Macaca fascicularis: one gene and its partners. The protein of the gene in region 6 interacts with the protein of the main gene of each other region in a pairwise test. Links are inferred from orthologs where the notes say so. Each region holds a gene or a part of one and is shown on either strand. Other genes may lie near its edges.

What was found.
Region 1: the proteins of LZTS2 (region 6) and HOXB9 interact in binary tests that used the Homo sapiens proteins (3 or more experiments, as listed by UniProt). The two-hybrid records come from large-scale screens. The link is inferred for Macaca fascicularis from reciprocal best matches to the Homo sapiens genes LZTS2 and HOXB9.
Region 2: the proteins of LZTS2 (region 6) and SUV39H1 interact in binary tests that used the Homo sapiens proteins (3 or more experiments, as listed by UniProt). The two-hybrid records come from large-scale screens. The link is inferred for Macaca fascicularis from reciprocal best matches to the Homo sapiens genes LZTS2 and SUV39H1.
Region 3: the proteins of LZTS2 (region 6) and TEAD4 interact in binary tests that used the Homo sapiens proteins (3 or more experiments, as listed by UniProt). The two-hybrid records come from large-scale screens. The link is inferred for Macaca fascicularis from reciprocal best matches to the Homo sapiens genes LZTS2 and TEAD4.
Region 4: the proteins of LZTS2 (region 6) and STAC interact in binary tests that used the Homo sapiens proteins (3 or more experiments, as listed by UniProt). The two-hybrid records come from large-scale screens. The link is inferred for Macaca fascicularis from reciprocal best matches to the Homo sapiens genes LZTS2 and STAC.
Region 5: the proteins of LZTS2 (region 6) and NEK6 interact in binary tests that used the Homo sapiens proteins (3 or more experiments, as listed by UniProt). The two-hybrid records come from large-scale screens. The link is inferred for Macaca fascicularis from reciprocal best matches to the Homo sapiens genes LZTS2 and NEK6.
Region 7: the proteins of LZTS2 (region 6) and POLDIP3 interact in a two-hybrid assay, tested with the Homo sapiens proteins (2 studies listed by BioGRID). The two-hybrid records come from large-scale screens. The link is inferred for Macaca fascicularis from reciprocal best matches to the Homo sapiens genes LZTS2 and POLDIP3.

The regions. Positions count from the first base shown.
Region 1 is NC_088390.1:58,092,806-58,097,050, forward strand, and holds the start of HOXB9 (homeobox protein Hox-B9), read left to right. Parts: upstream 1-1,445; 5' UTR 1,446-1,517; coding exon 1,518-2,034; intron 2,035-4,245. UniProt on the Homo sapiens protein: Sequence-specific transcription factor which is part of a developmental regulatory system that provides cells with specific positional identities on the anterior-posterior axis.
Region 2 is NC_088395.1:48,851,276-48,855,372, reverse strand, and holds the start of SUV39H1 (histone-lysine N-methyltransferase SUV39H1), read right to left. Parts: upstream 2,801-4,097; 5' UTR 2,637-2,800; coding exon 2,585-2,636; intron 1,710-2,584; exon of another isoform or gene 1,686-1,709; coding exon of another isoform or gene 1,667-1,685; exon of another isoform or gene 1,538-1,666; coding exon of another isoform or gene 1,513-1,537; intron 39-1,512; exon of another isoform or gene 1-38. UniProt on the Homo sapiens protein: Histone methyltransferase that specifically trimethylates 'Lys-9' of histone H3 using monomethylated H3 'Lys-9' as substrate. Also weakly methylates histone H1 (in vitro).
Region 3 is NC_088385.1:3,923,042-3,926,427, forward strand, and holds the end of TEAD4 (transcriptional enhancer factor TEF-3), read left to right. Parts: coding exon 1-105; intron 106-2,330; coding exon 2,331-2,483; intron 2,484-2,580; coding exon 2,581-2,694; 3' UTR 2,695-2,886; downstream 2,887-3,386. UniProt on the Homo sapiens protein: Transcription factor which plays a key role in the Hippo signaling pathway, a pathway involved in organ size control and tumor suppression by restricting proliferation and promoting apoptosis.
Region 4 is NC_088376.1:12,056,813-12,061,052, reverse strand, and holds the start of STAC (SH3 and cysteine-rich domain-containing protein), read left to right. Parts: upstream 1-1,440; 5' UTR 1,441-1,752; coding exon 1,753-1,863; intron 1,864-4,240. UniProt on the Homo sapiens protein: Promotes expression of the ion channel CACNA1H at the cell membrane, and thereby contributes to the regulation of channel activity.
Region 5 is NC_088389.1:19,820,475-19,824,646, reverse strand, and holds the start of NEK6 (serine/threonine-protein kinase Nek6), read left to right. Parts: upstream 1-1,372; 5' UTR 1,373-1,495; intron 1,496-1,714; exon of another isoform or gene 1,715-1,784; intron 1,785-4,172. UniProt on the Homo sapiens protein: Protein kinase which plays an important role in mitotic cell cycle progression. Required for chromosome segregation at metaphase-anaphase transition, robust mitotic spindle formation and cytokinesis.
Region 6 is NC_088383.1:109,955,244-109,959,259, forward strand, and holds the start of LZTS2 (leucine zipper putative tumor suppressor 2), read left to right. Parts: upstream 1-1,216; 5' UTR 1,217-1,412; intron 1,413-1,808; exon of another isoform or gene 1,809-1,839; 5' UTR 1,840-2,102; intron 2,103-2,746; exon of another isoform or gene 2,747-3,149; intron 3,150-4,008; exon of another isoform or gene 4,009-4,016. UniProt on the Homo sapiens protein: Negative regulator of katanin-mediated microtubule severing and release from the centrosome. Required for central spindle formation and the completion of cytokinesis.
Region 7 is NC_088384.1:9,003,351-9,006,631, forward strand, and holds the end of POLDIP3 (polymerase delta-interacting protein 3), read left to right. Parts: intron 1-68; coding exon 69-135; intron 136-528; coding exon 529-706; 3' UTR 707-2,781; downstream 2,782-3,281. UniProt on the Homo sapiens protein: Is involved in regulation of translation. Is preferentially associated with CBC-bound spliced mRNA-protein complexes during the pioneer round of mRNA translation. Contributes to enhanced translational efficiency of spliced over nonspliced mRNAs.

The DNA of each region.
Region 1 (4,245 bases), on a different chromosome or scaffold from region 6:
TCCCTGCCCAGGGCCACAGAGTAGATATATATAAAAAGGGCTATTTGGAAGTTCCAGTGAGGCAGTCTGCAGGGGTTAAGTCAGCGAGGGGAAGAGACTGACTGTGGGCTCCCTGTCCACACTGGCCCCTATATCGGTGTTTGGAAGTCTCCAGAGCAGGAGCCCTGGGTGAGAGGAGTGATACAGGAGGGCTGAAAACTCAGCCCAGGCTCCTTCCTCTTTGGATGGAAGGGGAGATAACTTGGGACCCCTTCCCTTGCTGACTGGGGATCCTTTCCCAGGCCTCTACTCTGGTGACACCTCAGGGAAGTGTCCTTAACCCTTTCTGCTATTCAGCTCCTTCATCAGGGCAATTTTAGGGGCCTGGGTGGTTATTCAGTTATTCAGTGGAGAAAAGGAGAAATGGCAATTCCCCCCCCCCCCCGCCGCCCCCACCTCACCACCACCATCTTAAATCCATCCTTCTGGCCAGAGTCAGAAAGGCCCAATAAATGTAAAGGCGCTCTGGTTCCTTGTATTAAACTCTTTCCTAGGCTCACGTTTCCGGGGCCTGATGGATCCCTTTAACCTCAAGCAGTTTCTAATTTCAGGACAAATAGTGGATTCTTGGACACTCAGCCGTTTTATTCACCTCTCTCCTCTTCCCTCAGCTACTGAGGGGTCCAGGGAAGCTCCCAGTCATGTAAATCTCTACAAATAGTGCACAGAGAGCCCCCTCCAAAGCGGACAACGTCCTAAAATCCCCAACTTTTCCCCTCATCCTTTTACTTCATCTCCTGTGGATTGCTGCTGCTGCTGTTGTTTAATAAACATCTTCTGTCAAGGGGACAGAGAAGAGGAAATGAGGGCCTGTGGGGTGGAGGTGGAGGTGTGTGTTGGGGGGGACAGGACCACCTCCTCTTCCAGTATCCTCTCGGGCCTCTGTGGCTGCTCCCCGGGCTGGGGCTCTCTCCCTCCCTCCGCCCTTGCTCTCCCTCCCTCCCCGACCCGCCTGGGGAGAGGGCTCCACAGCCTGCGTCCCTCCCGAGGCAGCCCGCCGCTTCCCTCCGCCTCTCCTCCGCCCCCGCCGCCCCATGTCGAGAACTGCCCCCCTTCCTGCAGCGGGAGGGGGGACCGGGCAGCCGGCAGCTCAGGCTGAGGTTACGTGGCCGCCGGAGCCCTGACGTGATAGCACATTGCATCAGCATAAAACAATCCATCCTCGATATGGAATGCGGTGCGGACGGATGACAGCGAGAGCGCAGCCCCCTCGCCCGATTGATTTATGTCGGAGCTGACGCTTTATCAGGCAGTCGGAAAAACTTTGACCAATCATTTTGCAAGGAGCGCTGAGCCTGGCTGCTCCACTGTACTTTGTTGGCTGAGAAGTTGAGCAGGGGGTGGGGGTGGGAGGGTGGGGGGCTGGGGGGGTCGCGTCCGAAAGCCCTCACACCGGTCCGGGTGCCACCTCTCCCTGCTTGGGCGCCGCCGCGCGAGCGCTTCCCTTCCCCCTGCGAGCGCCCGGATAATGTCTGAGAATGTCCATTTCTGGGACGCTTAGCAGCTATTATGTCGACTCGATCATAAGTCACGAGAGTGAGGACGCGCCTCCAGCCAAGTTTCCTTCTGGCCAGTACGCGAGCCCGCGGCAGCCGGGCCACGCGGAGCACCTGGAGTTCCCCTCGTGCAGCTTCCAGCCCAAAGCGCCGGTGTTCGGCGCCTCCTGGGCGCCGCTGAGCCCGCACGCGTCCGGGAGCCTGCCGTCGGTCTACCACCCTTACATCCAGCCCCAGGGCGTCCCGCCGGCCGAGAGCAGGTACCTCCGCACCTGGCTGGAGCCGGCGCCGCGCGGCGAAGCGGCCCCGGGGCAGGGCCAGGCGGCGGTGAAGGCGGAGCCGCTGCTGGGCGCGCCTGGGGAGCTGCTTAAACAGGGCACGCCCGAGTACAGTTTGGAAACTTCGGCGGGCAGGGAGGCCGTGCTGTCTAATCAAAGACCCGGCTACGGGGACAATAAAATTTGCGAAGGAAGCGAGGACAAAGAGAGGCCGGATCAAAGTAAGTTATAAAAAGTGAGGAAATACCCAGGCCGAAGGCCAGGAGGGGGCGGGGAGGGGAAAGGCAATAAACTGCCGACCATGTGAAGGGAAACTGCGGCGGTGGCCGGAGAGCGGGCCGGGAGGAGGGGAGAGGAAGGAAAGTCGGAGGGAAGGGGGAAAGCTGCGTGCTCTGGAAGGTGAGACTGAGGCCGCCAGAGGAGCGCTGCCCCCACTTCTTCAAGTCGTGCGGGGAACAGGGGCTCTGGGATCGACTTGCAGCTCTCTCGGCCCTCTTTCCCCTGTCTCCCGGAGGCCCCAGCTGAAAGCCCGGCCAGAGACCGGCGACGGCCGGGAGAGGAGCTGGTGGGGCCGGGGGCCAGCGGCCAGCGAGGCGGAGAGCCGGCGAGGGCAAGGGCCGGAGCGCACTGGGCTGCCCGGGACCGTGCGGCTGGCAGAGCTCCCCGCTCCACGCGCAGACCGTAAAAGCCGGCCAAGGGGAAGGGGGAGGGGGCTCATTAGGATTTTATTTGCGATGCAACAGCTTGGCGGAGAATTGTTCCTAGCAGATCTCGTGCTGTAGCCGCTCAGAGTCCGCAACCGGCGCCGGGAGGGGCGGGGGAAGCCCAGGACGCGGTGACTGAGCCCCCTCCCCGGATGCGCCGGCCCCTCCCCGGGAGCCTTCCCTCTGGTGGCCCCTCTCCTCCTCGGCATCTTCGCCGGGGCTGCCGCTTCCTTTTCTGCGGTCCTTCCCCCACCCCGCTGCTCTCTGCGGGGCTCCCTAGCCCCAGCCCGGGCTGTCCGCCTCTTGGGGAGTCGGGGAATCGCTTCCGAATATCGGGACATCCCGGGGAGAGGAGGGGTGGGGGAAGAGAGGGTTGCAGAGAGGCGGAGAACTTTACCGTTTATGGGTAGTTTCCCATCACCTCCCACTCCTCAAAAGCACCCCAGTCAGAACGCCAAGTCTGGCTGATTTCCAGGAGGTGCTACTAGGTGAGAAGAGAGGGTTCTCCTATTACTTATTTTTAAGGGCCCTTCGGCGAGGGAACTCAGCCCCAAACAATGACTCGCAGGCTGGTGAATCAAGTCCTCGTTTCTTACTCTTTTTGGGAAGTAGGGATTTTTTCGTCTCTCCTTGCCCTGCTAGGTTTCCCATTGACGGAGTGGCCCCAGGGCTCTTTAGTGCATCCTTGCCTGCTGGAGAGTAAAGAGCTGCTCCATTCCCTGCAGGGTCCTGTCACCTCCAACCCGCCAGGTGGAATCCTAAGAGCTGGCATTTGGGGAAGACATTCTTCCCCAACTCTCCCCGCACACTCCCAAACCGACCCACCACCCTAAAACCCCAAACTCTCCCTGAAAAGCCCATTATTGCAAGGCAGCCATTTGGCTAGAATCAATTATTAACAGTTTTTTCCCTCTTTCATATTTAATGCAGCTGCGGGTCCCATCCCAGGCAATCACATTAAGGAAATAGCACTGCAAATTGGTAAGACAGGGTACTTAGTGTAGGATGAACCAAATTTTTTATATATAAAAAAAATCCAGTGTTTTTCACTTGGGGAGAAGGAAGCTAGTAGCTGGTGGCTATTATTTTTAATTGGCTTAGCTTTATTTGGCAACTTTTTTGAGTTCCAGAGCAGGGGGAGAGAGGGTAAGAAGAAGAGAAGCCTGTATATATTTTTGTTTCCTCTCTTCCACTCAGTTACCCTCTTCTCCCCTCCAGCCCCCACATAGGACCAGTTAAGGCTAGGTGTGCTGTGAAGGGCTTCCTTTTACCTCCACATCACCCCTGGCTCCCCACCTTGGGACTGGAGCAATTTTACTCCCCAATTTCCCTGAACTTGTGTTAGCCAAACTGTGAGCTGAGCAGGAGCTGAAAAGGAGAGAGACTATTGCAACCATAAGTTATCTGTGAGCCCCTGGCGCTCCCCTGTCCATAGGCTGGAGTTGATAAATGGTTGCAATTGCGTTGCGTGTGAATTGGAGTGTGCTGCCTGTTTGTGGCTCTAAGTGCAGACCCATATTTGTGGTGTGTGGTGGTAACAGAGGGGGAGATTTCTACACAGACACACATGCCTGCTGCCATGTGGTCTAGAGACACAAGTTTGTGATCAAGGCAGGGTGTACTGGGACTAGACTGAAGGGCTGAAAGGTCTCTTGGGGTGAAGTGACACCCCAAATGTGGTAACTGAACAGACATCTCACTTCCCCACCCAAATCCTCCTCTCACCTC
Region 2 (4,097 bases), on a different chromosome or scaffold from region 6:
GGGAGGACAAGATTAAAACCTCCAGGGCACCAAACAAAGGCTAACTGGAAAGACTGGTCTTTAATCCCTTATCTCAAACTCCTGGGCCAGATGTGGTTTGGAATTCAAAATTTTTTGGATTTTACAAGACTAGTTCTAGGATACATCACCTAACACCCCCAACGTGGCCACGGGACATCAAGCTATAATCAAATGCATTAACTGTCCTGCAGCAAAAGTATGAATTTCCCACATTAAAGAGGAGAAATAGAGATATAAAATAGCCTCACAGAATAGTTCCACTTTATAATCTACTTTTGCCATAAATGGTGCCAAATTTAAGAAAAGGATTTCAGTTTTCAGGGCTTTTTAGATTTCGGAATGATGAGCAAGAGATTGTGGAATGATACTACATTACAGGAAGGCTCCTTAAATGATCAATCTGGGTGCCTTAAATCCACAAGGTATATTTTTTCACACTACATTTTGACTTTCTGTCTCATCCATCTTTCTGTGAAGAGTAAAGCTCATCCAAAGGGTTATGCTCTGAATTTATATGCAAAGCAGTACAGATTAGTGACACTGATTCTTTTAAATATACCTGGTATATTTCTGGGGCTGCCAAAATTTTGTAAGACAGAGATTTTAAAAAATAGATTTCTTTCTGATTCAAGGCACATTCTTAATCAATGTGCTTTAGAAGCCATTTTATCAAATCACGTCTCAAAACATTCCAAGGGCAGTCAGTCCTCATCCTACTTCATCTTTTTAAAATGTTTAATATTTTCTGCCTCCCATTGCAAAAATCACACTTAAACTCTAGATGTCAACCTAAAAACGTACAAGAGCTTTTCAAAATTATTTCGTGTGCAAGCCATACCCCCCCCACTTAGGCAAGATCAAGTGGAGACCGAGCCCGCATGTGCCCACGCTTTCCTCTCCTGGCAAACCCCTTCCTTCACTTGCATTCGAAACCCCACTTAAGTGGTCCCAACTAATACCTCCAGCTGCTGGCTCCGGAACTGGCCACAGGTGGACTCTCCTGAACCCCTCAGAGGTCCCCCAACTTGTGGAACCCGTCCTCCCTGCGGCTTTTGTCACATAGAGGGGCCCCCCAACATAACTGAGTCACCCCTCTTTCCCTGCACATGGGGGAGTCCAGCTGTCCTACTAGGAAGGCCCCATTTCCCTCTTCTGGGGGATCCTCTATTCCAAACCCTTCCCCCATCACGCCGAGAGGCGATACGTTCCCCCTGAAGAGTTCCCTGTCCCCGCACTCTGAAGGGGGGGTCTGTCCCCCTTATCTTCCCTCCCCTTCCGGCGTCTCGCGTGGACACCGAATGGGTAACGGTCACCGGGGGCCGATTTTCCCGCGCGCGGGCGCGGCCTCCCCGACAAGCCCCCGCGCGTGCGCGCGCTGGTCCGGTCGCGATCTGCGGCGCGCGCCCCCCTCCTGCGTCCCCACTTAGCCCCAGGCCCGCTGCGTTCCGAGGTACGCGCCCCCTCCCCTCAGCCCCGCCCAGCCCCGCGCACCAGGCCCGCGCTCCCCGAGCTCCATCCTTTCCGCGCCGAGCTTCCGGCTCCCGGCGCCGGGGCCTCAGACGCCGGGGTCCCGAGCCGGCGACGCCACCCCTCCAGCCCACCCGGCCCGGCCAGCGGGCCCGCGCCTCTGTCTCCACTGCTTCACCTTTTAAATTTTCCGCCATCTTTCCCCACGGCTAACGACATTCGGGCCTAGCCGGCCTCGCGAGAAGAGAGCTCGCGCGGGCGTGGCCGGGAACGCGCAGCCTATTGGCCGCGGCTCGCGACTCGCAGCACCCGCGCGGACCAACCGGAGAGCCGTGACCGAACCCCTCCCTGCCGCCCGGCTCGGTCCCGGAGGCGGGTGCTCGCCGCACTTTCCCAGAGTGCGTCTGGGCGGCGGCGGCAGCGGGAGCGACAGTGGCGGTAGCTAAAGTTGCCCGAGGCCCTGCCCGTGCGCTGGTCTGTCTGTCACACTGCTAGCCAATCACCTTATCAGCCAGTCACAGTGGCTCCTGAGTTCTGTCATACTCCCTATTATCACCGTCAGTCAGCCCGTCATCACATTTTAACCCCAAGTAGGCCGGGGCTCCCAGGTGGACTAGCGCCCCATCCAACCGCTCAGGCGGTCGCACCAGACAGATGCCTAATCAGACCCCCGGCCCCCATCCACACTGCCGGGCAGTCAATACCGGTTTCCATTTGTGCCCCCGGGCCAGCGGCGACTCCCTGGAGGCAGGCAGACAGCACTGTTAGCCAGCCAGCCTTATCATTCCCTATGACCGTCCTGTCCTCAATTAGTCCTCCTCTCCACCCACCATAGCCCTGGGACCAGCTGCGATTCTCTCTGGCTAAATCCTCTCATAGACTGCAGCATCCAGCCATGCCCCCAGGCGGGCTGTGATTAGGTCGGGGCAAGCTGTCATTGTCAGCATCTAATACAGCCCTGTCGGACACTATCAGTTGATCACTGTCTTTCCCTCAGATTACTTCTCATTCACACCATGATCAGTCACAACACCCAGCTAGGCCCTCAAAGCAAATAGTCACAGCAACTAGAGGTAGGATTAAGCCTCCACACCACCTGTCAGTGGGTCAGCCAGTCTGTCATTTCTCAGGCGACTCATCCCCACCATTGGTCAATCAGTCTCCTCGGATGCGTTGAAGCTGAGATTCTATCAGAGCAGACAGTCCGTAACCACGTACAGCCATCGAGTCAGACGGTTATGCTGATTTTGCTGCTGGCCAGCTGGCCTGTGACTCGTTCAATCCGCCCCTCATCACATCGTCAGTCATTCTCAGCATCCGACTGACCGCACCGTCTGTCAGGTGATCAGTCAGTCAGAGCACCCAGCCAGGCCCTCCAGCATGCTGTGATTCGAGCAGCGTGGACAGTTGATTACCAGATACAGCTGCCTAGCAAGCAGCCACGGATCTGTTGATCAGTCAGCCTGAGGTTTCCCCAGGTGGCCCTCCTTTACACAGTGCCAGACAGTATAACATCTAGACATTCCCCCAGGCCAGCTGTGATTCCTGACAATAGTCATTCACAACATCTGGCCACCCAGGCAGGCAGTAGCACCACGGACCATCAGTTAGTCAGCCTGCAAGGTCCTCAGGAGGCTGCCTGTCTTTTCCACTGTCAGGCTACCAGCCCCAGCCAGTCCTAGGCAGGCTGTCATTCAGTTAGATGTTCAGGAAACCGCGCTGTCACTTCCTCAAATTGCCCCCTCTCCCTGTCACTCCATGAGTTCTGTAGTCAACCAAACGGTTATACAGTTAACCAAACAGATATTCTGTCTGCCTGCTAGTCCAGCTGTGAGCTCATTAAGAAGTGACTGGCTGGTCTGAGGTTCCGTCAGCCCTAGCTTGCCCTGAGTGGGACAGACAGGAACAGAAGTCCCACCATGCATCCCCTTCCCTCCCTTATTCCTTCTCGAGCAGAATCAGATTTTCGTCCTCATGTACCCCCAGTCTCCTCGGGCAGCAGGACTCTCCCACTCCTGGGTGTCCAGGAGACCTGTCCAACCCACAAGAGTGATTTAAGACAGGACCTCTGCCTGTCTGGATCTGAGGGGGAGACAAAAGGGTCTGTGGCCGGTGGTGCCCCAAACCACTATAAAGTAGTGGGCAAAAGCCTGGATTCTGGAGCCTGACTACCTGGACTCATATCCAGGCTCTGCCATTTACTAAATTACTTGTCCTTAGGCAGTTTCTTTTTTTTTTTTTTTTTTTTTTTTTGAGACGGAGTCTCGCTCTGTCGCCCAGGCTGGAGTGCAGTGGCGCGATCTCGGCTCACTGCAAGCTCCGCCTCCCGGGTTCACGCCATTCTCCTGCCTCAGCCTCCCGAGTAGCTGGGACTACAGGCGCCCACAACCGCGCCCGGCTAATTTTTTGTATTTTTAGTAGAGACGGGGTTTCACCGTGGTCTCGATCTCCTGACCTTGTGATCCGCCCGCCTCGGCCTCCCAAAGTGCTGGGATTACAGGCGTGAGCCACCGCGCCCGGCTGTTTCTTAAACTGGTCTGTAAAACCTCGAGTAAGTGACCTTGGGGTGGGTGTCTCCTGCTCATCTGGAAAGTGAATCATTCTGGACT
Region 3 (3,386 bases), on a different chromosome or scaffold from region 6:
TCCTTCTATGGGGTCTCCAGCCAGTATGAGAGCCCCGAGAACATGATTATCACCTGCTCCACCAAGGTCTGCTCTTTCGGCAAGCAGGTGGTGGAGAAAGTTGAGGTAGGAGGCCACCCTGGTGGGTGAGGGGCGCTCCCCAGAGCCATTGCTCCCCGTTCAGGATCTTCCAAGCACGTCCTTACAGGCGCCCCCGGTCCTCTCCAAGATCAGAGCCGCAGCACAGGCAGGGCCCAGGGGCATCTACCTAGTCCAGCCCTCTGGCTTCACAGTAGAGGCCCAGAGAGAGCAGAGGCCTCCCCCGACCGCCCGCACGTGGTCACACCGCTCACTAATGCAGAAGCAGGCCTGGGTGCCTAGGATCTCCATCCGCTGCTCACTTTGCTCCATGAATGCCTAAAACTCCCTGATTTTCTACTTGTGGGTGACCTGAAGACCCCGCTCTAGTGGACGTTACAGAAAAGTCAGGCCTGCCTTTTAGGCGGTGGTTTCTCCCACTCGGCTAAACCCCCGGCCAAGGGCAGTGCAGGACAGTGGTGAGGAGCACACATTCAGGGGGATCCCCACCCAGCCACCCTGCTTTCCGGTGGGTGTTTGGGGGGTTGTGATAAAATCCTCCGTTTATCTCTAAACAAGGGCCAAGTTGTCTTCACTGTCCGTGACACAGTCTCCTGCAGCACCCTGTGTTCTGGGCCCGCTGCACAGTGGCAGTGACAAGGAGCTGGGACTGAAGGCCTCCGACCCGAAACACCTGTGCACTCTGAGAGTCCAGGACCCTGTGCCGCCCACACACTTGTTAAACCAGACCCCCTCGCCATGCAGGCCGGTCTGCGTCCCTCTCCTCACCCTGTCCCCAGCTTGGTCTGAATTCATGAAGTCCTAGTCTCACAGCCTATCAGTTATTGATAACCTTCCTCATGCCAAATGCAGCCAGATGCCAGGCCAGCATCAGGGAAGAGAGATTCCTTCCCCCAGTGCTTCTCCACCTGGCTGCACCCTACAGTCTCCTGGGAGCTTTGGAAACACACCAGTGCCTGAAACCCGTTCAGCACCCCTCAATCTCTAGGGTAGAGTCCAGGCATTATTGGTTTTTAAAAAGTGCCTCCGGCCGGGCGCGGTGGCTCAAGCCTGTAATCCCAGCACTTTGGGAGGCCGAGACGGGCGGATCACAAGGTCAGGAGATCGAGACCATCCTGGCTAACATGGTGAAACCCCGTCTCTACTAAAAATACAAAAAACTAGCCGGGCGAGGTGGCGGGCGCCTGTAGTCCCAGCTACTCCGGAGGCTGAGGCAGGAGAATGGCGTGAACCCGGGAGGCGGAGCTTGCAGAGAGCTGAGATCCGGCCATTGCACTCCAGCCTGGGCGACAGAGCTAGACTCCGTCTCAAAAAAAAAAAAAAAAAAAAAAAAAAGTGCCTCCAATTATTTATTTCTAATTTATTTTGTAAAACTTTTGAGATAATTGTGGATCCACTTGGGATCATAATCCCATGTGCCCTTTACCCAGTTCTTGCCCTGGCAATGTCTTGTATAACTAAAGTATAAAGGGGACACCCAGGAAATTGACATTGATGCAGTCCACCAAGCTGGTTCAGATCTCACCAGCTTTATACGCGCTCCTTTGTGCACGTGCATGGGTGCGTGTAGATATGGAGACTTGCATGATCACCACCAGACTCCCGGGGGTCCCTGTGTATCCCCCGTGGTGTCCTCACGTACAGCCAGGATTGAGAGGCTCCTTCCCACTGCTCCTGTGTCTCCTTAAGCTCCCCTCCTGCCATCCCCGGTTCCTGCTGGTCACCCGTGGAGGAAGGAGGTCTTGTTTAATGTCCACCAACCTAACAGGGTGACTTTTTGTGTGTGTGTGTGAGACAGTCTTACTCTGTCGCCCTGGCTGGAATGCAGTGGTATGATCTCAGCTCACTGCCACCTCCGCCTCCCAGGTTCAAGCGATTCTCCTGCCTCAGCCTCCAGAGTAGCTGGGATTACCGGCGCGTGCCACCGTGCCTGGCTAATTTTTGTATTTTAATAGTAACAGGGTTTCACCATGTTGGCCAGGCTGGTCTTGAACTCCTGACCTCAGGTGATCCGCCTGTCTTGGCCTCCCAAAGTGTTGGGATTGCAGGCGTGAGCCACGGCCCCTGGCTGGGGGTGACTCTTTTCTTAAGGGCCCCTAGGCCTCCTGCCTTTCCTTCCCATGGAGTTGGGTCTGGGTCCTGGGGCTTCCCATGGAGTTGAGTCTGGGTCCTGGGGCTTCCCATGGAGTTGGGTCTGGGCCGAAGGTGGTCAGAATGGGATTCTAAGCCCCTGCTGTCCCCGGGCCCTGCAGACAGAGTATGCTCGCTATGAGAATGGACACTATTCTTACCGCATCCACCGCTCCCCGCTCTGTGAGTACATGATCAACTTCATCCACAAGCTGAAGCATCTCCCCGAGAAGTACATGATGAACAGCGTGCTGGAGAACTTCACCATCCTGCAGGTGTGCCGCGGGTGTGGCTGGAGTCTGTGTGTGGGTAGCAGCGAGGGCGTGCCCTCGTCTGGGGCCTTATTCACCCTTGTCTTTTTCTCTCCCACAGGTGGTCACCAACAGAGACACACAGGAGACCTTGCTGTGCATCGCCTATGTCTTCGAGGTGTCAGCCAGTGAGCATGGGGCTCAGCACCATATCTACAGGCTGGTGAAAGAATGAGAGACTCGGGGAGCAGGGAGGGGGGAAGAGACGTGTGTGCAGGAAACGGGGACGTGGGGAGGGGACCTGCAGGGGCAGCCCCTGAAGTGCCGAGAGAGCTGAGAGGAGCAGTTGTGACTCTACCCAGGAACAAACTGTGCCTGAACCTGCAGTGCCCAACCCCAAATAAACCCAAGATGCTGTGTCTTTTCAGAGGACCTGGTCTGGCTGTGTGAGCCTCGGGAGGGACTGGGGGAGCAATGGGGCCATCTGGGAGGCAGGCCGGAAGCAGTGCTCAGAGACGCACCCCGGGCATTTCTGAAGCCAGCATCCCAATGGACTCAGCCAGGAACATCACCAGACCCTGGAACCGAAGATGTGACGGTCCCCGTGCTGCCTCTCAAGCCCCTGCACTGTGGCGGTGGCCACGCCGGGAGGTCCGAGGAATGCATGGGCTATGCACCCGCAGCCATGTGCACCCCTGCTGCACTCGCAGGACGGTTCACACAGAGAGGCCCCGTCCCCGGGGGGGCGGGTTTTAGGTGTGGAGGTGACAGTTGTTGGACGGGGACACCGTCAGAACTCTCTGGATAGTTTCCGTCCATCTCAGTGGATGCGGATGCCATGACTATCTTCCATGACCACGCTGGGGGCGCTGGTTTCAGATCGAAGGAGACTGAGGTGGGGAGGGCAGGAGGCTGGGAGGGCAGGAG
Region 4 (4,240 bases), on a different chromosome or scaffold from region 6:
GGCACAATTCTGATACAGAATAGATGCTTGATAAAAATGTGTTGATATGGCTGCTCCTGTCATTGTGTTTGTGACTTTGGCTACTAGAATTTTGTCTCTATCGAACAATCAGGAATTGCGTTGTGAGACGGAAAAAACTGAAGCCATTTTAGCTGGCCAATCTGGCCCAGTACTGAGGTTCACCAGAAAATTTAGAGCATTTTGAAAGCTCAATGCTGAGAAAGAGGTTGACACTTAGAACAGTAGCTTTCAATTGGCATCTGGGATGGAAAGAGTAAGAGTCAGTTCATTCTAAAAGACATGAACTAGGGAATGCATGCAGGACCAGACATATAATTTGTAGGGTCAAGTACAAAATGAAAATGTGGTCTCATTAAATATTTTTAACGAATTTCAAGATGGCAGCATCCGTGCGGGGCCCTGTGTGACTGCACAGGTTGCACATCCATGAAGCTGCTCTTGCAAACGTCTACAGCTAATTTTAAAAATCTGAACAGAAGTTTGCAATTTTCTTTTAAAAAGTTGAGGGTATTTTGTATTAATGGGGAAAAAGAGGCTTTCAAATATCTAGCTGTATTTCCTTTCCCCGCACACTGAGGTTGTCTTCAAAAGAAACTGGACCCTCTGTATCTTTTTTCAATGGGGCTATCCGTATGTTTCCAAAAGATTAAGCAAGGCAGGCTGGTTTGCCCCTCTGTGAACAGTCCTCAACTCTTGCTAAACTGCAACATCCAATTGCTCTTCAGCCAAGACCTAGCCTAGATTTGAGGCTCCACAGTCGGAAATGCATGGATTTTGAAGCCAAAATGTGTTCAAATTCCAGTTTCGCCAATTATAGTTTAGTGACTTAAAGCAAATTACTCAGCCTTCCTACAGCCTCGATTTCCTCATCTATAAAATGGAAGTGATCATCCCTAGACGCATAGAGTAGCTGGGAGGATTAAATAAGGTAAAAAGAAAGGGTTTAGCACAGTAAGTGCATAACAAACGAGGAACAGGTGTCCATAGACACACCCGCATTATCTCTCTGCTTTAGATCAAAGCTGAATGGAGGAAGCGCTGTGACCGTGATTCAGGGGACCCCCACTCCGATCCCTGCTCTCTGTCACTGAACCCTATAAATAGCTTAGCTAAGTCACTGTCTCTCTCAGTCACTATTCGTTCGGGTGAGGAATGAGGGAGTTGTTGCAAGCGGTCCTTTCTGGCTATATCATTCCAGAAATCAAAATAGAAAATCAAAGATTTTCTATTCTTTGGGGTTTGGGTCTGAATTTTCAGCATCCCCTCTACAGAATCACCCGCACTCTGTGCCGGCGCGCGCCCAGCCTTCCCCCAGCCCTCTCCAGGGCGCTGCCCCCTGCCTGCCCTCACTACTCCAGGCGTTGACCGCGCAGCCCCGCCCCGGAGCTGCCTCCCCGCCTCCTTCCTCCTCCTGTGGGCGAGCTGAAGCCCGCTCGCCCGCTGCCGAGTGGCAGTCACGACTGCGAGGTCGCCCGCGAGGTGGCCGCGGGCGCGGCGGGGCGGGGTGGGGCAGGGCGCACTCTCCTCCACGCCGGCGGAAGTGCCGGGGAGGTGGGCAGGGCCGGGCGGGAGAGGGGGCGAGGCTGGAGGAGGGCACGTCGGCGCCTCGGCGAGGATGGGAGTCCCCGGGACCCGGAGCTGAGCAGCCTGGCGCGCGGCGGGCAGGGCGCGCAGGAGGACAGCAGCCTCGCTGTTCCTCCGGGAGCCCAACACCGTTCCCGCGCGGCCACGATGATCCCTCCGAGCTGCCCCCGCGAGGACGACGTGGACGGGCTGCCCAAGGAGGCGGCGGGCGCCGAGCAACCGCCCTCTCCTGCATCCACCAGCAGCCAGGAATCCAAGGTACCGAGCACACTTGCCCCAAGAGAACACAAACTCACTCTCCTCTCCTCGCGGTCCAGCTTTGTCTCTCCTCCGATCTAGCACGGGCGTGGGGGTCTGAAACTTGCTAGTTCGCCCCGGGCTGGAGGACTTGAACGTCCGGCAGGACCCGCTGAGATTTGAACGTCCGGTAGGACCCGCTGCTCACGATGCTGGACCACATCCCTGTGGACCCAGCCTTCTCGCCCACACATCCACACGCGCAATTCATGGTGACTCCGGGTTCGGAGATCGATTTCTTGCGGGGTGGTGGCTTGGTTGCTTTGTGCTTTGAACCTGCTTGTGTCCAAAGCACGTGTAGGTGGGTAGTAGGTGGCTTTTGAAGGCTGAGGGATGGAGACAGCCGAGGGATACTCTTCCAGAAAAGCTTGAGTACTGGGCCAGAAAGGCATGTATGTATCCCAAGGGTCTCAGAGACCTTTTGCATAACAGGGATCACCCCTACCTTCAGATACCACTCACTAGAAAAGAAAAAGAAAGAAAAAGAAAAAGGGTTTGCCTGCGTTTGTCTGAAAGTTGATGTTCCTCTTGTGAAAGTTAATACTCTAAGAACTTACACTTGCTTTTATGAAAGTTACACTAACACGTATACACAAAACCAAACCCGCAGCACTTCTCCTGTCACTGTTACACTTCCTCTGAAACTCTCGTGGGTGCCAGGCACATGTTTGAAAATCTTGGAGGAGGATAGAGTAAAATGTGGCTGCTGGCAGTGCAATGCCAAATGGCAACTCAGCTGGTGGTGGAAATCCTAAGATGGAGTTTGTAGTTACGTGGATTCTTTTAAATGTAGAGTTCCTGGCTCTTTATTCTGATTTCATTGTGCGATCCCCAGGCATTTGGGGAATGTGAGGCAGTCCGTGTATACCAGCAAAGGAAAGGGGTTGCCAGTTTGTAGGATAGGGACAGGCCAGATGGGGCAAGGAAAAGTGCGATCCTGTCTCCCTTCACACGCATCCCTGGAAGCCATTGATACAATCAGGAGAATGAAAATCACAGCCTGAGTGGCTGTCTGGATTTGGTGTGATCCTAGGCACTGTACATTTCCCAGCCCCCTGAAGTTAACCAGCAATGATAGTAATCTAAGCCCGAAAGCTTTGCCTCTTATTTATTTTTATTTTTTTTCTGTTAATTACTGGCTGCCAGACCTGGGGTATATGTGTCAACTTTTTTAAAACTCAGTTGGAAACTAGGGAAAAAGCCCCCATCTTCCAGAGTCATTGTGAGGAGTACATGAGATGCTCTAATGTCCACCTGGTATACTGTAAGGACTCAATCATGTTTATCCTTTTCCTTCCTGAAATAAAGAAATGGACTCCATCTCATCTCAAATGATCCATTCCAAAGCAATCTGATAACCCATACATATGCACTACCTCTCCTTAGTCAAAAAGTTTCTGGGTATCATTGCCTCCCATTGAACATCAGTCCCCAAAGTGATATAGGTTAGTGGCCATTTTAGAGGAAAGCTAGAATTCTGTAAATGAATGTAGCTAAACTCAAGGGTAAAACTAGTATTGAACTTTTTGAATTGGCCTGTTGCTCTGCAGTAGGTGTGTTCTGGAAAGGGCTTAGCATTTGGGCAAACAGTGATATGGTTCAAATGCATTATATGGATTTGCTATTTATAGATGTCCTAATGGAAATTATTTGGCAGAGCAAAAACCACGTATGTAATGCCCATAATTATCCACCAATTTATCTGGCTTACAGTTTTGTACAAATTAGTTTTTCTCAAAGTGTTCTATACACCGGATATGTGTTTCTACATTCCTAAATTTGATGTCATGGCCTCAGAAAACTTAATTAGTGGAGATGAACTATGGGGGTCCATGAACCCTAGGAAATAGAATGCAATATCGTATGCCTAAATGTGAATTTTTCTTGGCATAGCATTCATAATATTCTCAAAGAGATGCATGCCCCTTAAAAAAAAAAAAAAAAAAAAAAAAGGCTAAACTGCTAGTATGGTTGTGGTAAGGTAAGGCAGTAAGATGGCATGCAACTGGAGAAGAGGAAGGCTCAATTCATTCTATTCTAGGAAGACCTAGCTTAAAGCTTACTGGTGTCTATGAGGATCTTTGACCCAGAGCGTGAGAGCTTGGTGACGAAAATGTGAACAAGACGGTAATAAGAAATTCCATCTTACTCTTCCATGAAGTCATCTTGTTTGTAAAATATCTTGTGGGACAAACATGGTTCAGGCCCCTTTGGGCATTAAACTCTCTCAAGGAAGACTTTGAAAATTACTTTTTTAAAAGATTTAGGGTTTTTTGTCTTATTATAAGAGTAACAAATACTCTTTGTAGATATTTGAACAGTCCAGACATACATGATG
Region 5 (4,172 bases), on a different chromosome or scaffold from region 6:
CAGGGCTATGCTATTCCTGAGGCAGGGCTGCCTAGTAATTGGAACACACAGGTACTAGAATTAGACAATCTGCCGTCCACTTTCTAGCGCAACCACTTACCATCTGCGTGACTCTGAACAAAAGAATTTGCTTTTTATTGTTGTTGTCCAGGCTGGAGTGCAGTGGTGCGATCATAGCTCACTACAGCTGCTAACTCCTATGACAAGAGTTCCTCAAGAGATCCTCCCGCCTCAGCCTCTCGAGTAGCTGGGACTGCAGGTAGGCACCACCACACCCAGCAAATTCTTACATTTTTTTTTAATAGACATGGGGTTTTGTTATATTGCCCAGGCTGGCCTCAAACTCCTGGCCTCAAGGCATCCTCCCACCTCGGCCTCCCATAGTAGTGGGATTACAGGTGTGAACCACCACAACCAGCCTGAAATTTCATTTCTAAGCCTCATTAAGCCCATCTGTAAAATGGGCACAAGGGTAACGTTGGCACACATGGTGGACGCTCAGTTGGTGTCATTATTACACATCACGGCCAGTTAAAGCACCTTCACTCATTTGGCAAACAGAAGCCCGACACGCATTCACCCTGTGCCCAGTACAGTGCTGTGCCTCAGCAGGCAGTCAGTGTCCCTAGCTCCAGCCCTCCTGGGGGGCAGCGCAGTTTTGAATATGGAGGGGAAGCGGCAGGGGTGGAAACGACCCAGCCAGGAGCGGCTGCTCTCGGCGCAGGGAGGAGGTGAAGTGAGAACTGAGCTGCTTGGGTCCCAGGGAGGCTCTGACTTCTAGAGGGCGCGTTCAGCATTCTTTAGTGGGGACTTTTACCACTTCCAGAAACCTCTGCACATTGGCTCTTGCTGGACCCTGGGGGCCACAGGAAGTGGGAGCTCCAGATGAAGAGTCGCTGGCACTTTGAGGGCGGGGGACAGGGCCTTCCCCTCATCGGAATACTCTTGGAGCCTACTTCAGTGCCTGCATTCAGCTGGTGCAAAATAAGTGCTTGTTACTTTGCCAATTTCAGTATAACTAGGACTGTGGCAGGAGCAATGCTAGGTGATGGGGAATCCGAAGATGCACGGGAGGAGTTCAAGGGTTGGCTGCCTGCAGACCCTCATCGTAAGTCTAAAGCCAGAGAAGAGGGGGAGACGCCGGCCTGCGCCCTGTGACTCTGGGCCTCAGTCTTCTCATCTCTGAAATGGGGAAGGGGTTTCTCTGCCGAGCGGATCGGCCGCAGGACTTGGCGGAGTCGAGGGGTCCAGGCCCAGGAAGGACGCCGTCGGGGCGCCCCCCGCCCCTCAAGCTTGCGTGGCGGCAGCGCGCACGAGCGCAGGGGGCGGCGCGGCCCCGCGGCGGGGAGGGGCGGGCGCGCGCGCGCGCGGCGGCGGAACCGAGCGGACTGGCGTGCGGCCGCGGCGCCGCCAACTCGTGTGGGACGCACCGCTCTAGCCGCCCGCGGGCCCGCGCACCGGTCCCCCCGCGGCAGCCGAGCCCGCCCGCGCGCCGGTGAGTAGCCTGGGGCTGGGGCCGGGCCGGTGGGGCCCCGCGGGCCGGGGAGGGGCGGGGGCCGGGCGGCTGGGCCGTCACCCCCAGCCGGGCCGAGGGCGGGCGCGCGCCCGGGGCTCCGCGGGGGAGAGCGGGAGGCGGGCGCGCGTGTGGCCGCGCGGGGCTGAGCGTGTCGGTGGGCGGGCGGGCGGGCGCGGGCGGGGGCGGCGGCGTGTCCGCGTGTCCCGGGGTGTGCGCGTCCCCGGCGGGTGTGCGTGTGCACCCCGGAGCGTCTGGTGGCGTTGTTGGGGTGAGTGCGTGCGGGGACGCGGGCATGGCTCCCCGCTACCCACTTCCCGAGTGGGGACGACGGGCGGAGGAGTGTGCCGGGCGCCGCAGGGAGTACGTGCGGGTTTCAGGGAGTGTGTGTGTGCACGTGTGTGCATTCCAAAGTGATTTGTGTGCACGCACATGCGTGAGCCCAGGAGGGCGAAAGTGTGCCTGTGTGGGTGTGAGTATAACGAGTGTGCAGGACCGCGCGAGCGTGTTTATTACTGAGGTTGAGGGCCCCCTTTGCGCCCACCAGGCCTTTGCACAGTGATGGCCCCCAAGCCAGGGAGCCCGTGGAGAGAGAATCGGCCTGGCATGGGCTGGGGGTCAGGACTGGGCCTGATCTGGTGAACCAGGGGCCGGGAGGACAGACTCAGAGCCTGGCTGGGCCTGACAGAGGCGAAGGTCTCAAAACCAGGCTGTGGCAGGGCCACTGGCAGGACCCTCTCTGCACACACAGGCTGGGCGAGCGGAGGCTGTGGTGGGCCTCGGCCGGGCACCCGAGGACGGTGTTTTCCTAAATACCCTCCGGGCTCCCCTGTCTTTGTTCTTGACTCTTTTCAGCCAGGCCTGGGGGGCTGACCTTATACTTGCCTGTGTATGTGGGTGCCTCTCTGCCCGCCCTGCTAAGTAGATGGATCTTTTGATTTATGTATACCTCGCTTAGGCTCCAAGTGTGAGTCCCAGGACGGTAACAAATTGATCACAGCGGGCTTGGGACACCAGCTTTCGAGGTCTGTCCTTGCAGTTTTGACTGACAGGCTTTTGTGTGTGTGTGCGCACTCTCTAACTGTTGAAAATCTTTGCAGTTGAAAGTCTTAATTGTTTTAAGGCAAACTTTAGAAACTCCAGAGCTCCCTACTTGCTCTGACTTTTCCAAATTCAGCTTGCCTTTTCTGGGGGAAAATGTCGCCTTAGTTTGGTGTACAGTACGTGCAGGCAGGTCTTGAAGGCACGTTTAAAAACCGTGTCGTTAATGGAAGAAGAATTTCATTGAAAGGGACGCAGAGCCGGCTGGAAGCGCCTGCCCCGGACTCAGCGAGTTTGAGCTTACCGAGTGAACTTTGGACGTCTTCTTTTAGCAAACAAAACCTGGAAGGAAGCAAAAAAGACCCACATTCTTTTTCTTTTTTGTCCTGAAAATGAAAAAAAGAAAACACCTTCTGAGTTTGCTGGAAATGCCCCCTCTCCTTCCCCCATCAAGGCCAAGCCCTCCCTGCATCCCCCACCCCCAAATAAAATATGCCTGTGGGGAGCCGTGGAATGAGTCACTCCCTGGCAGAAAGCCTGATGGGCAAACATTTGGGAAGGTTCTTGCCTAACTTCCCAGAAGAAAAGGCCCAGGATTTAAAATGGTCCCTGTGGTTTGTCAGCCTCTGCCGTCCCGTCTGCTTCGGAAATGACTAAAAAGTAGTTTGTATCTCCACAAAATAAAGTCTCAGACTGAAGGCCTTAGACCCAGGTTGGTCTGGATTTAGAGCTGTTTGGGTTTCCAGAAATGGAGCGCCCGGCTTTAACTGGTGGCATTTCTGGTGGGTTTGAACAAGGGCAGAGGAGGGAAATGGGGAGGAGGTTCCCATTTACAGAGCAGAAGGGACTGTGTGCTGGGAGCCGTTCTAGGGTGTGTGAATCTCCCAGTGCTCTTCTGCGACAGAAAATGCTTTTGGTTTTGTGCACAAGGAAACTGAGGCACACGGGGGTCAAGCCTGTGTCCTGGGGCAGCTGAGAGGAGGTGGGGGCAGAATCCTAAGTCACCTGCCCAACCTCACAGCCTTTCCTCTTTCCACTGCACTTGGGATATGGTATTTGACTGGCTGAGGTGCACAGACCTAGTGCTGAGTACTTTAACACACATCCGTTCATTTTCTTCTCATCGTAGATAGGGTTTATTATCCCCATTTCACAAATGAGGAAACCGAGGTTCAGAGACGTGACCTGCATAATTTCGTTAAAGTAGCACCATGACAGATGGTCCCCATTTACTTTTACTTATTTATTTAATTTTGAGACAACGTCTCTGTTGCCCAGGCTGGAGTGCAGTGGCGCAATCTCAGCTCACTGCCCCCTCTGCCTCCTGGGTTCCAGTGATCCTCCTGCCTCAGCCTCCTGAGTAGCTGGGATTACAGGCACATGCCACTGCACCCAGGTAATTTTTGTATTTTTAGTAGAGATGGGGTTTGACCATGTTGGCCAACCAGGCTGGTCTCAAACTCCTGACCTCAGGTGATCCACCCAACTCAGCCTCCCAAAGTGCTGGAATTACAGGCATGAGCCACCATGCCCGGCCATGTCCGCATTTATTGAGGATATACTGTGTGCTACGTCTGGTGCCGTATTTCCCCCAGTCCACTCACCAACACTGAGATGG
Region 6 (4,016 bases):
ATAGGACTGGTCTGCCTACACCCAACTGGATGTTAAGAATCTCCCTGACTCACAGGTTCAGTGGATTGGGAAGAAAAAAAAAAATTCAAAAACATTTCCCCGAGAACTCAGGAAAGGCCTGGCTAAGCCAGGTCCAGTTGGATCTACAGCCTTGTCCTCTAACTGATAGTGTATGTCACACTTGGCTATGAGGGGGCAGCTTTGGTCCTCCAGCAGCTTCCTCTCTGCTGTGGATGGGTTTAATAATAAACAGCTCGGCCGGGTGTGGTGGCTCACACCTGTAATCCCAGCACTTTTGGAGGCCGAGGTGGGTGGATCACAAGGTCAGGAGTTCGAGACCAGCCTGGCCAATATGGTGAAACCCCGTCTCTACTAAAAATACAAAAATTAGCCGGGCGTGGTGGCACATGCCTCTAGTCCCAGCTGCTCTGGAGGCTGAGGCAGGAGAATTACTTGAACCTTGGAAGCTGAAGTTGCAATGAGCCAAGATCGCGCCCGCTGCATTCCAGCCAGGGCGACACAGCGGGACTCCGTCTCAAAAAACAACAACTCACCGAGGTCTCCAGCAGCCCATACGGCCCAGATACCTAAAGACCTTCCCACATGCTGCCTTGAGTGCCATGGCGGGAGGGAGCCCCTGGGGCCTCCCTGCAATACAGGCCAACTTCCTGTTTGTGCCTGTGGGTAGGATTTTATGAGTCTAAGAGAAGCCCAGTCATGCCCCGTGGGGGGTCAGAACCGGCAGGCCTGCTCACCTGGGCAGACACCTACTCTAGGGAGGGGGCTGTGCTGGTTCTGCTTGGGCAGCCCCACGCTGAGGTGTGTGCATGGTGGGGGCAGGTGGGAGCTGCTCTGGTGAAACTCGAGCCTCCTTTGTCTGATTCCCAGGGGTTTTCCCTATATTTGGGGATTGGGTCAAGAGTGGACCGGGTTGGGCTCCCAACGGAGCAGGGAGGGTGGCAGAGTCAAGTTCTATAGGGCAGCTTAGTTTAAGGCAGCCAGGTAGTCGAATTATCGGTCACGAGATGCTCGCCCCCTTCCCCACGTCAAAAACCAAATCCAGTAAACTGTGAAGGCGAAGGCCAGAGGGGCAGCCTCGGCCACCGTCGAGTCCCTGTGGGGCAGGGAACTGGGTAGGCTGTTGGTGGAGTGCGGGACAGACCACTCCCCTCCCTGGGTGGGGGGCGCGGCCTGAGCCGCCCCGCCCCGCCCCACCAGGTCAGGCCAGGCGGGCGCCCGGAGCCGGGAGCCGGGAGCCCGGAGCCGGGAGCCGGGAGCCCGGAACCCGGAGCCCGGAGTTCGGAGCCCAGAGTTCGGAGCGGGCTAGGGAGGCGGCGTTGTCGCGGCGAGGAGGTGGGCGCGCTGGAGCAGGAGCGGGGCCAGAGCTGGAGCCGAGGCGCAGGTGGCGCTGGGTGAGTGGTGGGGCCGCGGAGGTGCAGGAACTCCTGCTTCCCGCACATCCCCGCTCCTGAACGAACTTTCCGCTTCTGGGGAAGCTAGGGGTGGAGTGAGGAGGGGGGTCCGCACTTGGTGGGTCGCCCGCGAAGAGTCCAAACAGGGAAGCGACACGAAAACGCACGCCGACGGGCCCCAAACACGCGTGCACAGACCCACGCCCGCACTTGGGACACGCGAACACACATGCAGTCGGAAAGGACGCGCCCAGTTTTGTACCCTTGCACTCCCAGGGACAGCGCCAATCAGCCCGCGCGGACCCACAGCGGGCAGGGCACTCTGCGGTCGCGCATTGGGTGCGGGAAAGGGGCAGCCCCGTGACCGCCGACGGGGGCGGGCCGGGTGGGACGCACCCAGAGGTTCCTGCTTCCTGGCCGCCCACAGGTGAAGACGAAGACGTAAACAGGCGCCGGGCACGTGACAGCTCCGCACACCAGTGGCCTGTGCCCCCAACCCCACCACGAGGCCCGTTTGCTTGGTTCCAGGCCGGACGGCGTTCCATTCTCCTCCTGGAGCCGGGATAAGCCCTCTCCCAGGAACCGGAGCACAGCGCCCCCTGGAGCCGGGGCGGAGCAGGAGGGCCGGGCTGCTGGGCAGGGCTGGGGTTAACCTGGGCTCCTGTACGTCCTTCCCCCAGCACATTCTTGGTATCTGCATCCCCGAAGGTTTCGGAGACAGGCCCTTGATGGCAGTGGACAGCTGCCCCCGCCTATTCCCGCCAGCCCAGAGAGCAGCTGCCTGAGCGCCTGCGGGTCCCCTTCCTACCCTCACCTCCACTCCTTGCCGGAGTAGGAGTCTCCTCCCCCGCAGAAAATGCATGAGTGTAAACGCCCCCTCAATACCAGAGTGGGCCTAGACCCCTAGAAAAAGGAGGACGAGCCCCTGCCCCCAGGGAATGAGGGAGTGGGCAGTAGCTCGATGCCTTCTTCCCGCCCCACCCCCTACCCCTACACACACGCTGAGCCCAGCTGCCGCCTGAGCTGGGCAGGCTGCCAGAAAGGGGAGGAGGTTCTCGGTGCCCCAGGAGGCAGGGATCAGGGCAAGGCCAGAGGAGGGGGCTCTGTTGGGGAGAGGGTCTCAGTCTGTTCTTGTGAGGCTGAGGGTCTGGGGTGAGTCTGAGGGTGGCTGGGCTGTGTTTCCCTTTCCAGGGAAAAAGAAAAACAACCCTGTCCATGGAGCTAAAAATAGAGCTGAGAGCCGGCCAGGGCTGTGGCCTGGAAGGGGGGGATGCTCCTTCCTGGGGCCCGGGCGAGCTCTGGCAGGCCTTGGCCCTGCGGGGGAGGGGGTGGTTAGGGGAGAAAGGCTGTCTTTGCCCAGGGATGCAGGCATCAGCTGACCTGACCGGGTCACCGAGACCCCTAGGGGAAAGGCTGTGCGGTAGAATATTTGCGAAGCATGGCTGTAAGAAGTTGTCTGTGTGAGTGACTGTGAATAGAGGCTGTCAATGCGTGAAAGATGGTTAGGAGACTAAGTGCATTTGAGACAGTGACTGGGTGCGAAGGACTGCGGATTGTTGTGGAAGCCTGTGCCCAACAGGCCTGTGACACCGTGTCTGTGTGTGAGTTGGACTGGAAGATTATGGAAAGAAGGAACGCGGACCCACGTGACAGCTGAGACTGCTTGTGGCTGCGTGGTGAGGCTGCATGTGGGAAAGGTCGCGTGGGTGTTAGGGAGACTGTATTGTGTGCGAGAAGGTGAGAATATTTGCGACCTTGAGAAAGTGGAATGTTGTCTGCCGTGCGGCTCCTGTAGGTTTGGGCTGTAGGCTTGGACCGGTTTGCCCCAGTGATTGTTGGGGAGCCAGGGGCCGCTTCTCTCCGAGAAATGACCTCTGTCTTAGCAAGCGGTCCCGAGGGGAGGCTGGGGAGCACGGGGCCGCGCCAGAGGCCGGCCTGGGTTCGCGGGGAAAAGGGCACCGTGCCGGGGAGTGGGGCAGGGCCCGCGTGGTGGGGGGCGGCTGGGTGTGTTCTTCGAGCGGGCCGCCAGGTGGCGCCGCCTCTGCGAAGCCCAGGTTGCCGCCTCCAACCCGCCCCTGGTGGGGCAGGTGCGGACCCAGCCTCGGCCTCCGACTCGCGCTAGGGCGCGGGGCCCCGGCACCGGAGAGTGGGGGACGGCCGGTCGTCGACCTCTCTCGCTTGGGACTCTGAGGCTGAGAGCGTGTCAAGGAAGCTTCGCTTGGAGAAGCGGAGGGGGAGGGGCGGCCGCCGCCGTGCCGTGGCCCTTTGTGCTGGAACAATGACCAGCTGCCGCTGGCCCCGGGGCCCCGGCTGGGGCGGAGGGTGACCACCGCCGCCGCCGCGTCGAGCCGAACCGAGCCGCCGGACACGCAGTCACAAGGCGTCGGAGGCAGGGCTCCCGACTGCCGCCGAACAGCCCCTACGTGCGCCCCGGCCGATTCGCGTGACGCGGGTGCCTGCGCGTGTCCCTGCGCGTGTCCCTGCGCGTGTCCGCGTCCCGGGGCGGAGACGCCCCTCGGACCCTCCCCCGCGCGGCGCCGCCCACTCGCACTGGGCGGGGGCTGGCCAGGGCCGGGGGAGCCGCGGAGGCGGGGCCGGGCCGGG
Region 7 (3,281 bases), on a different chromosome or scaffold from region 6:
GCCCTTCTCCTCTTTTGTGAGGAGCTGAGGTCTCATAGCAGAGCCTTTTTCTTTCTCTGGTTTTTCAGGGCAGCCGATGAAGTGCAACCTTCACATGAATGGGAACGTTATCACCTCAGACCAGCCCATCCTGCTGTGAGTTCCAAAGGCGGGGTGCTGGGGAGAGGGAACTCCGTCCATCTCTTTTTATTCTAATGGGTAAACTGCCTGCATTCCTTTGTTCTAATGGCAGCTGGTTGTTTCAAATGCTTAAACTCAACCAAAATGGTTTGCTTTGTCATTTCCCCAGGGGTTGACCCTACAGGGGCTAGCATTATGATCTCGTTCTCAGCCTTCTGATTTAGAAATATCTGAGTGGAAGGTGGAGGGGAGGCTGCTTGGGTCTCCCAGCTGTGTGCATCATCATCATCCTAGGAACACAGAACTCCACCTCATGATTGGCTCTGATGGAGACAGAGCCAGATGTTACCCCTCTTTTTGTTCCCCAATTAGGTTTTTTTTTTTTTTACCCTTCTCTGCTCTCCACAGGCGGCTGAGTGACAGCCCATCGGTGAAAAAGGAGAGTGAGCTGCCTCGCAGGGTGAACTCTGCCTCCTCCTCCAACCCCCCTGCCGAAGTGGACCCTGACACCATCCTGAAGGCACTCTTCAAGTCCTCAGGGGCCTCTGTGACCACGCAGCCCACAGAATTCAAAATCAAGCTTTGAGCAGGGGAGTGAGGCAGCTGGAAGTGGGGGCAGAGGAGGGTGGCTCTGTTTCCCCAAGGCAAAGCTTGTGACCAATGGGCCATCGGACTGGAGACCCCTGATTGTGGGAAGGGTCACCAGGGGTAAAGAGCTTCCTCACTGGATGGGACCCGCATTTCTGTGTTGTGTTCTGCCATGTGCTTTCTCTGTACGTTAACGTTTCCTGTAGTATGTTTCTTCTCCATCTCATCACCAAGTTAGGCTTGTGTTTTTCAGTGTGCCTCCGCCAGCCTCAGCCCCAAGCTGATTTCTTATCTGGAAATGGTACACTGAATTCTCTGGGTGGCTTTCTTGTGGCCCCATGGGATGCAGGGCGGGGGCTGTCTGAAGGACCCTGCTTTTTCCAGGGGCCGACGGGCTGCCTGTCCTTTGTGTGTATTAAGCTTTTCAGACAACGGAGGGGATGGAAAACCCTGGTATCCTGATGGGAGCCAGGTCGGCCTGAGAGCTGTGCCGCTCCTCTGCCTGGTCATTGGAGGTGCCTGGGTGGGGAGCAGGTCTCAGGCCTCTTGTCCTCTCCCCAGTGGCTCCAGGTCTCACTAATGGCAAGGGCAGGATGAGGCTGCACCGCTGGGAAGAGTGTCCAAGCTCTTGGCTTGGAGGCCCGTGCTGTCTCCGCCCAGAGGAAGTTCTCCAGAGTTCACCTTTCCCTTTTCCTTGAGTTGTGCTGAATGCCCTACCCTAGCTCTCTTTCCCTTCTGGGTGTCTCTGCTAGGAGGGGGTTGTGTTGTGAGCCCTCCTGGTTCTCACCTCGCCTGGCACTCATCACCCTGGTTTTGTGCAGCTGCCAGCTCTCCTCTGGTTGGGCCTTTCAAAGGTTCAACCTCCCATTCTGCAATGCTGTGGGTTAGGAGCTTATTTGAATGGAAGAGGTCGGTTTGCTCCTGGCTCTCCATTTCTGGCCTAAGTTGTCAACAGGACAGTGGTCAGGAGTGCCTGGAGGCATATATCCAGCTGCCACCAAGGGGCACTGTTTGTTCCCACTTACGTGAGTGACCCATCCATCCATGACCAGAGGGTTATTTTCCTGCCTTGGCAGAGGAGGAGTCAAGGGAGCAGGGCAGCTCTCCCAGGCAAGCTGTTTCCCCAGCATAGGCACAGGCAGTTGGGACAAAACTATAGAGCCCAGGGGCAGTCCCTGAATGACCAGGCCAGTGTTGTCCCTGGTGTCACTGAGTGGTCCCCTGCTGGTTTGCTGGGAATGAAGGGAATCCAGGCTGGCAGAGCTGGAACCAGTTGGGGAGCACAGTTCTGGGAGCTCTGCAAAATCAGTAGCAAGTGCTGGGAAAGGCGCATGCCAGAGATACTCAAGAGTTCCCGAGACTTGCTTGAGGCTGACCCAGTGAAGAAAAACCCAGAGACTCATGTTTCCAGAGGTCAGTCTGTCAGGCAGGAAGGACCCAGGGTTTGAACTCAGCTTCAGTCTGCAGACTCTGAGGCTGCCCAGGCCGGGAAAGTCCAAGGAAGGGGCCTGGTGGTGCTCCACTTCCAGTTCTTTAAAGAATGCTGCTTTTTATTCTCTTAACCCCTTCAAGTGGGTGCAGACTTCTTGTTAGCAGCTGGAAGACATTCCTCCCACACTTTACCCTTCCTGGCCCAAGAGAGCATCCAGAAGGCAGTTGGACCTGGTTTTTCAGGTACTGGGAACAGGGGACTCAGTGCTTGGACTCTGCTTAGGGTAGGGACGGTAAATATCCTGCCTGCATGGCTTTACCCTCCCTCTGATCCCAAAGCAGGGATCTTCTGGTTGTCACAGAGTTTGATTGAATCTAGCTGCAGCCACGTGGCCATCTGGAGCTGGTGCTGTAGGTGACCATCTGGTACATTGAGGGGACCTGTTTGCCTCCTCCACTCTATAAGCAGTAATCTTGGGAGACCGGGAAGAGAAGGTGGTGGGCTAGTCCTGTGTCCTCCTTCACTTCCCATGCCCCTGTGTTACCCGTCTGTGTCTCCCATGCAGAAGGAGAGGAAGAGGCATTAAGGGATGAAGGGTGATTATGTATTATCCATTTCTGAATAAACATTTGGTATTCCTACCTTTGAGTTACTTTTTTTTTTGAGACAAAGTCTCACTTTATTGCCCAGATTGAAGTGCAGGGGCACTATCTTGGCTCACTGCAACCTCCGCAGCCAGACTCAAATAATCCTCCTACCTCAGCCTCCCAATTAGCTGGGACTACAGGCGTGCATCGCCATGCCTGGCTAATTTTTGTAGAGATGGGGTTTCACCATGTTGCACAGGCTGGTCTTGAACTCCTGACCTCAGGTGGTCTGCCTTCCTCAGCCTCCCAAAGTTGGAATTACAGGCATGAGCCACCACACCCAGCCAAGGGTTTTGATCTTCAGGGATTTCAACATTTGGAGTGCAACTTAATTATTTAAAAAATAGGTTCCTGATATGATACCCAGGATGGTCTTTAATTCCTGGGCCCAAGTGATCCTCCTGCTTCGGCCTCTCAAAGTGTTGGGGTTACAGGCATGAGCCACTGCTCCCCTCCAGGGATGCAAATTATTTGATACTCCTTTCTTCAGAAGA